Kluyveromyces lactis: one gene and its partner. The protein of the gene in region 1 interacts with the protein of each later gene in a biochemical or structural test. Links are inferred from orthologs where the notes say so. Each region holds a gene or a part of one and is shown on either strand. Other genes may lie near its edges.

Region 1 (4,496 bases):
TTCTTCCTTCTTTTGTTTAACTTCCAAAGATTGACCACCTCTTCTGGTAATTTTTTCAATACTTTCCAAGTGCTTTTCAGAGAATTCAATATCCTTCAATCTCAATTCAGTGTTGATGATATCCAAATCACGAACTGGATCAACATCACCTTCAATATGAATAATTTCAGCATCATCGAAACAACGGACCACTTGGTAGATGGAATCGACAGATCTGATATGGGACAAAAAGGCATTACCTAGACCTTCACCAGCAGAAGCACCCTTAGTCAAACCAGCAATATCGTAAACAGTCAAATGAGCTGGAACTTTGGAAGCTGGCTTGTAAATTTCACTTAGAGTATCGAATCTTGGAGATGGAACAATGACTCTAGCTTCTTCTGGATCAATGGTTGCGAATGGGTAGTTAGCTGGGTTACCCAATGGACATCTAGTAATGGCTTGGAAAAAAGTAGATTTACCAACGTTAGCTAAACCAACGATACCTGCCTTCAAGTTATTACCTGGACGGCCTAATAGAACCTTCTTTTCCTCTACTTGCTTCTTTGGTGGCATGTTACTAGTGTTATACTAATTAATTCTTTTTACCTGGTTTGTTTGAGATACACTAAGAGAAATTGACAAACAGATGAAGTAGAATGTCTTAAAACTTCCAGATAAGATAATAGTGCAATTAAAATTAGTTTCAGACGATCGACTAAAATTCAAACCTCCCTTCTATTTCTCTTGATGAAAGGCTCTTTTGAAACTTGACTGTAGCAGGAAAACTTCATCTTCAACTTTTTCTTCAATTAGATGAGGAACAGGCGCTCGAAAAAATGACGAAAAAAATTTCAGCTGTCGCTATATACGGAAATCATGTGACAACTTTTTTTGGTTGTTCCTGTTCTTGATAAAGGAAGAGGGAAAAAGGTAAAAAAAAAACTTAAAAAATATGACACTAACGGGATTCGAACCCGTGTCACTCCCTCGCCTGGCACTTACCATTTCTGGTAGTTACGCTATTAATGGAAGGGGAGTATCCTAAACCACTAGACTATAGTGTCCTATTTTGTTGAATTGTTATATTTATAGACCTATATATTATGAATTATCCGCACTTTGGGTATCACCTTGATAGATTCGTTTTGTTAGAATTACCTGTACATACACAACAGCGGTTTGTAGATTCCCAATGACAGTTACCGCTATTGCAACGCCATGATGTGTTTGGGACTATATTCTAGTATACTAAGCTGGAGATCTTACCTCATTGCCCTTTTGTTTACATATCTTCCCAATTAGGAATTGTAAAAACATTGAAATCAATACAGTCCTTATGCATCGTTTCAACCCAAGAATAGAATCTTCCTCGAATAGAAATACCGTATTTCTTGAGCTTAGAAAATAATATTTTAATGAGCAGTTAATACTTCTTTCTCTTACAAGTTCTCAGAAGCTGTCAATATTTTTATTGTTGTGAACACACCCAGTTAATCACATTATCCAATCCCTTATCTTAGCCTTATTCGGCAGATACACTCTCTAGAAGTTGCCCTTTGCCTTTCCAATATGACAAGGAATCCATTCATGGCAGAGGATGAAGAGCCTCCAGTGATACGTTCTCCACAACGGGCTGCTATGAGAGCTAGTCAGTATAGTTACAGTGCTGTTTCATACGATGATGATGCCAGTCGTTTTCAAGGTTTTCCAGCAGTTGATAGTAATCCATCATCACCTTCAAAAGCTGCTGCCAGATACTCACCTCAGAAAATGAATAATACCCTTATCGATAGTGTGCACAATTCCCCACTGCCACGAAACAGGTACCAAGCCAATTTGCAAGAATCTCCAAGAAGAATGAATCATGCACTCATTGACGTTGAAAGCAATGATGGTGAGAGTTTGTATGACATATACACCAACAGTCCTACTAAACCAGGTCCTTTATTCCAAAGACTAACCTCAAATGAGACAGAATACACGTATGATAGCAGAAAAATCAGCGGAGAAAGTACGGTTTACTCAGGTGATACTTTCGGCGAGACGAAATTTGAATTGAATCATCCAAAGACACAAACTTACAAGAAGCGTGGATTATCTGAGGTGAGAAGACATCCTCCAGCTTTTAAGCAAAGAAGAATCTTGAAGCTCGACAACCCAATCCCAAGTGGATTGAGAGATATTATTCCAAAAAGAGATTCTCCGGAATTTACCGAAATGAGATATACGGCTTGTACCAGTGATCCTGACACGTTTGTTGAGGACGGTTATAATTTGAGAATGGCAGAAATGAATAGAGAATGTCAAATTACAATTTGTGTCACAATGTATAACGAAGACAAATTCGCTTTAGCTAGGACGTTACACTCCATTCAAAAGAACGTCGCCCATCTGTGCAAACGTCACAAATCTAACGTCTGGGGACCAACCGGCTGGAAAACTGTTCAAATTATCATTATCAGCGATGGTAGATCTAGAATAAACCAAGGTTCCTTGGACTACTTGGCAGCTATCGGTGTATATCAAGAGGATATGGCTAAATCGACCGTTAATGGTGAACCAGTGAAAGCGCATATTTTCGAGCTTACTACACAGGTGTCTATTGATGAGGAATTAAACTATAGAAGTGAAGGCACGGTACCTTGCCAAATGGTTTTCTGTTTGAAAGAAGAAAATCAGAAGAAAATCAACTCTCATCGTTGGTTGTTCAATGCTTTCTGTCCCATCTTGGATCCAACTGTTGTTACATTAGTGGATGTAGGCACGAAATTGAATAGTACCGCCGTTTATCACTTGTGGAAGGTGTTCGATATGGATTCCAATGTCGCCGGTGCTGCTGGCCAGATTAAGACCATGAAGGGAAAATTTGATATGAAATTATTAAATCCTCTAGTTGCTGCCCAAAATTTCGAGTATAAGATGTCCAATATACTTGATAAGCCATTAGAAAGTGTTTTCGGTTATATCACTGTGCTTCCTGGTGCGCTCTCAGCATACCGTTACAGAGCATTAAAAAACAATGATGATGGTACAGGTCCACTGCATTCATATTTCCTAGGTGAAACACAAGAAGGTAGAGATCACGATGTTTTCACAGCCAATATGTATTTGGCAGAAGATAGAATTCTATGTTGGGAATTAGTTGCTAAAAGGGATGAAGCATGGGTTCTTAAATATGTGAAAGAAGCAACTGGTGAGACAGATGTTCCAGAAGAACCTCCAGAATTTATTTCTCAAAGAAGACGTTGGTTGAATGGTGCTATGTTTTCAGCATTATACGCGCAAATACATTTCCATCAGATTTGGAAAACAAGACATTCGACAACTAGAAAATTCTTTTTCCACATCGAATTCTTATATCAACTAGTTCAAATGATTTTCTCGTGGTTCTCTATTTCTAACTTCTTCCTGACTTTCTATTACTTGGCAGGGTCCATGAATTCTATTATTCCCCATGGGGATGTACTCTTCACATTTTTCAAATACCTTCTGATTTGTAACCTCTGTGCTTTGTTCATTATTTCTATGGGTAACAGACCACAAGGTGCAAATCATCTTTTCATTTCTTCAATGGTCATGTTGACAATTTGTTCGACTTATGCTTTGGTTTGTGGGTTAGTTTTTGCCATCAAAACATTAGACGATGGAACAGAGGAACATTCGGTATTTGTGAACATTGTTGTCTCTTTACTATCAACTTATGGTTTATACGCTTTCACTTCCTTGTTGTACTTAGATCCATGGCACATTTTCACCTCTTCGGTGCAATATCTGTTAATGTTACCAAGTTTCATTTGTACGTTACAAATTTTCGCATTCTGTAATACCCATGATGTTTCTTGGGGTACCAAGGGTTCCACGGAAGCAGCTAAACCAATTCCTAGTGCAGAGGTTATTCAAGGTCCTGATGGTATCACAATTGTCACTGATCAATGGCCTCAAGATATTGATAATAAATACCAAGAACTGAAATCTAGGTTAAAAGAGAAGGAGATGGTTGAAGAAAAGGTCGACTTAACGCAGAAGCAAAATGACTATTACCGGGATATCAGAACCAGGATAGTTATGGTTTGGATGTTATCTAATTTGATTTTGATGATGATCATTACACAGATCTATGAACCTGAGGAAACGGTCAATAATATTTACTTGAAATTCATTTTATGGTCCGTTGCAGCATTAGCGGCTTTCAGAGCTACAGGATCAATAATCTTTTTGTTGATGAAATATTTACGTTTACTGATCAGCTGGAAGCACAAGGCCGAAGATAGCGGTTCATTAAACTTACCAAGTGTTGGAAACATTCTCTCTGTTGGAGAGAAATGAATCCACACAGTAGCATATCTTATGGAAGATAAATAGACAATCAAAACATAGTAAACAGATAAAAGTTTTTAGTAAGTTTACACAACAAATAAATATAAATTGATAACTTACAATTGTTTTGGACCTTTACTATAAAATCAAAGTTAGCTTTATTTCAATTAATGGCCGCGAGTTGCTCTATAGTTATC
Region 2 (3,161 bases), on another chromosome or scaffold:
GGACATCTTTTGCAAGTGAATTCAATTCAACAGACTTCCAAACGACATAATATTCTCTTAGTGCTTTAGGTCTCAATTTGTTGATATTAATAAAATCCTGGTCTAGGACGTCCCTCCGTCGACAACCAAGAAGATCATTCTTCAATCGTGGCCTTCGCCTAAATATAATGAACTCCATATTAGTATCCCAGTCTGCAGCTCTAACATTAAGTTCTAAGTTTCCCCTAATGGAATTGAATCGTATTGCATTTTGACCCAGTTTTAACATGAAGTATGTTCCAACTTCAAGCTGTTTTCCGACAGTTATTTTACTGGGCAGAATTATCAATTTACCATCTTGTCGTATCATTAATCCACTGCAGTGAGGTTCCTAATTCGAATAGTATCAAACATAATACAGCAGAGTCTTCTTTCGAGTATTCTTGTGCGATTACTTTAAAGTTCTTTCTTTATATATTCTTTTCTCATCTTAGGACCCTTTGGTTGAATAATCATGCAAAAAGGCTTAGCATTGACAGAATTCAAGGTGCAACGATTGAAACCATTTTAGATTCCAAGGCTTCGAGAAGATAAGAGGAACATCTAATATGAGTAGTGATAGAAAAACTTTTAACTGTCTATCCTATCAATGATTATGTAGTTCTAATAAGTCATTTATAATGGTGGTGGTCTCCTCCTTGTTGGAGAAACCGAGCCTGATCTTGAAGAAGGCGAAGAAAAAGAATTTGGCAAGTTCGGTAGCCTTGGAGTAGTAGGTTGTCTCACAGGAGATTTTAACGGATATTTTTGTCCGGCTGAATGTCTCACTGAAGATTGGCTGGATAGTCTTGAAGGCGTAGTCGGAAGAGGTGGTAATGGCGGTTCAACAAACGATTTTGTAGGAAGGTGATTCATAGGCGATGGCTCGTCAATGTTCGTTGGTATTCTTGAGCTTGAGCTACTCTCGAGACCGCCACCTACCACTTTCTGTAAGACTTCCAAATCCATCGCAGTGTTGGTGATACTCTCTGTAGATGGTACCGAGGAGCCGTTCTTGAAATAATTCAATTTTTCTTTGATCAGCTTTAACTTGTCCATCAGCCCATCAGTAGATTGGCTTTGTTGCGAATGATAGGTATTTGCTGTAGCATTAGACCCCATCGATGAATCAAAATCTATTCTTTCACTTGAAGCGTGTGATGATCTAGAAGTATCGAGGTTTATAGGTAGATCAGGAAGTGGAGATTTTATATGAGAGCCGTGAACGTATTGGCCTGGGGATGCGGAAGCAACGAACCGCTGCTCACTTGCCGATGTCTGCAGTTCATATTGTGCATGTAACTCCGGTGGATCTGACGGTAGTGGTGGTACTGACCTGGACTGTACACTGGAACTTATTTTTGGAACATTGTCGCGTCTGTCTTCGCTAATGTTATTTGGAACAAAAGTCAATTCAATATACACCTTACCAGCTTCCAAAGGACCCCTCTTCAGATGATACCACCTATCATGGCCTTCTTCAGGGTCACTTAGTAATGCAGGCAAAAGATCAACATCGCACTTCCCAATGAGCTTCGAACCATGTTTGTGATCATGGTCATCGTACAGTTCAACGCAGAGTAGAGGCTTGATATCGGGCGTTAGTTGAAAAACACAATGGTAATCAAATTTTGGAGTTTGGCCGCCTCTGTATATCACTGGAGATATCTCCGTAAGATGAGCTACTCTTAACTTGACGAAAGGATCTTGCTTGTCTAACTTTCTTAGATTTGGAAGGTCCTTCGCTTTACTCACATAAACATCTAATCGACCATTTGCTCCGGTTATCACGTTATTGCTCATTACACTTAATGCCTATATCGATTGAAAGGTGTTAACAGTGCTTATTGACCCATAAAGAAGCTCTATTCAAACTGTAAATATGTAGTTTAGCTTGATTCAATCTTATATTTACATAGGTCTATGTTTTTCAACATTTTTCATATTGACAGTTTTACGTGGTAAGAAGCATCAGAGTCTCAGGGAAAGACCGTACAAAATCGAAGATAATTGGTAGCATATATTATGCTATGCTATTTAACTAAGTGTCGAGTTAAGTATTTTTATTCACCTCGAATATCTCGATCCTCCAGATTGTCTTTTTGGACCAGATGGTAATGGCGATTGGTTATTTGTAGAACGATCGTTCAACTTAGGCTTTTTAACGTTTGAGAATCTGCTTGAACTTTGGTAAGATTCATCAGATTGCCTCTTTCGTGGTTCGGAGGGAGTATTAACGAATTTCTTCCCTTGATTGAATGGTCTGCTAGGAAGCTGTGATGTGTTTGAATTGCTGATACTTCTGTTGCTAGACGAATCTTTTCTTGGGCCAGATGGTAATGTGTTTTGGAATCTGCTAGATGAACCTGAGCTTGCAGGACCAGATGGTCTTGAGGAAGTATCCGGAGGCTTAGACGCGTTGGCTGGTGCTCTTGGCAGAGTTGTTGAGGCTATACCATGTTGATAACGAGAAGAAGCTGCCTTTCTTGGTTCACTAGGTATTGGACGGTTACTGGAAGTGTTGGAGTTCCATCTTTCACCACTGTACTTCGATGAAGGTTTAACAGGTACTACTTCATCTTCATACATACTTCCAGGTGTCTTGGTTTGAGGCAAAGGAGCAGATTTGCATCTTTGAATAAAATTTTCAAAGACAGATCTGTAGTGATCAGGTGGATTACTAGTGACTCGGTGGTAATAGTCCTCGAACAATATCTTCAATTTGTTTCTAAATCCAGAGATGTTGCCTGGAGCTTTTATCAATTTTCTAAAATCACTCTGAGTGTTAGAATCGTATATCAAGGGAATGGCTCTGGTGTACTCAGCATCCTTAATGTACTTCTCGATCTTATAAAAGCCATCCATGACTTGCGATGGAGATGGAGAATTGTTGGATATGGACGACATGGATGGTGCGGTAAGTGAAGATGTTGCAGCACCGTTCTCAGCATCCTGTTGTTTTGCCTTTTCCCTTTCCTTTTCTTTCAATTCTGCTTCTTCCTTTCTACTTTGCTCTGCTTTTGCAGCTTCCTTCATATCTTGGTACCTTTTGATGAGATTCATCTCGTCTTGCAGTTGTTGCTGTTCTTCCGCTGAAACTTCACGGAAATCCGATGTCTTAGAGGCGTTCTTAAGTCTAGCCT

What was found.
Region 2: the proteins of CHS2 (region 1) and INN1 form a complex in vitro, tested with the Saccharomyces cerevisiae proteins (2 studies listed by BioGRID). The link is inferred for Kluyveromyces lactis from reciprocal best matches to the Saccharomyces cerevisiae genes CHS2 and INN1.

What each region holds. Positions count from the first base shown.
Region 1 is NC_006040.1:307,249-311,744, reverse strand, and holds CHS2 (chitin synthase CHS2), read left to right. Parts: upstream 1-1,551; coding exon 1,552-4,308; downstream 4,309-4,496. Other genes in the region: OLA1 (Obg-like ATPase), read right to left, coding at 1-555; KLLA0_D03520g (M20 family metallo-hydrolase), read right to left, coding at 4,467-4,496.
Region 2 is NC_006037.1:996,803-999,963, forward strand, and holds INN1 (Inn1p), read right to left. Parts: upstream 1,822-3,161; coding exon 655-1,821; downstream 1-654. Other genes in the region: KLLA0_A11550g (uncharacterized protein), read right to left, coding at 1-349; THO2 (Tho2p), read right to left, coding at 2,086-3,161. UniProt on the Saccharomyces cerevisiae protein: Required for the ingression of the plasma membrane into the bud neck at the end of cytokinesis, leading to the separation of the mother and daughter cells. Stimulates the synthesis of the primary septum (PS) by CHS2.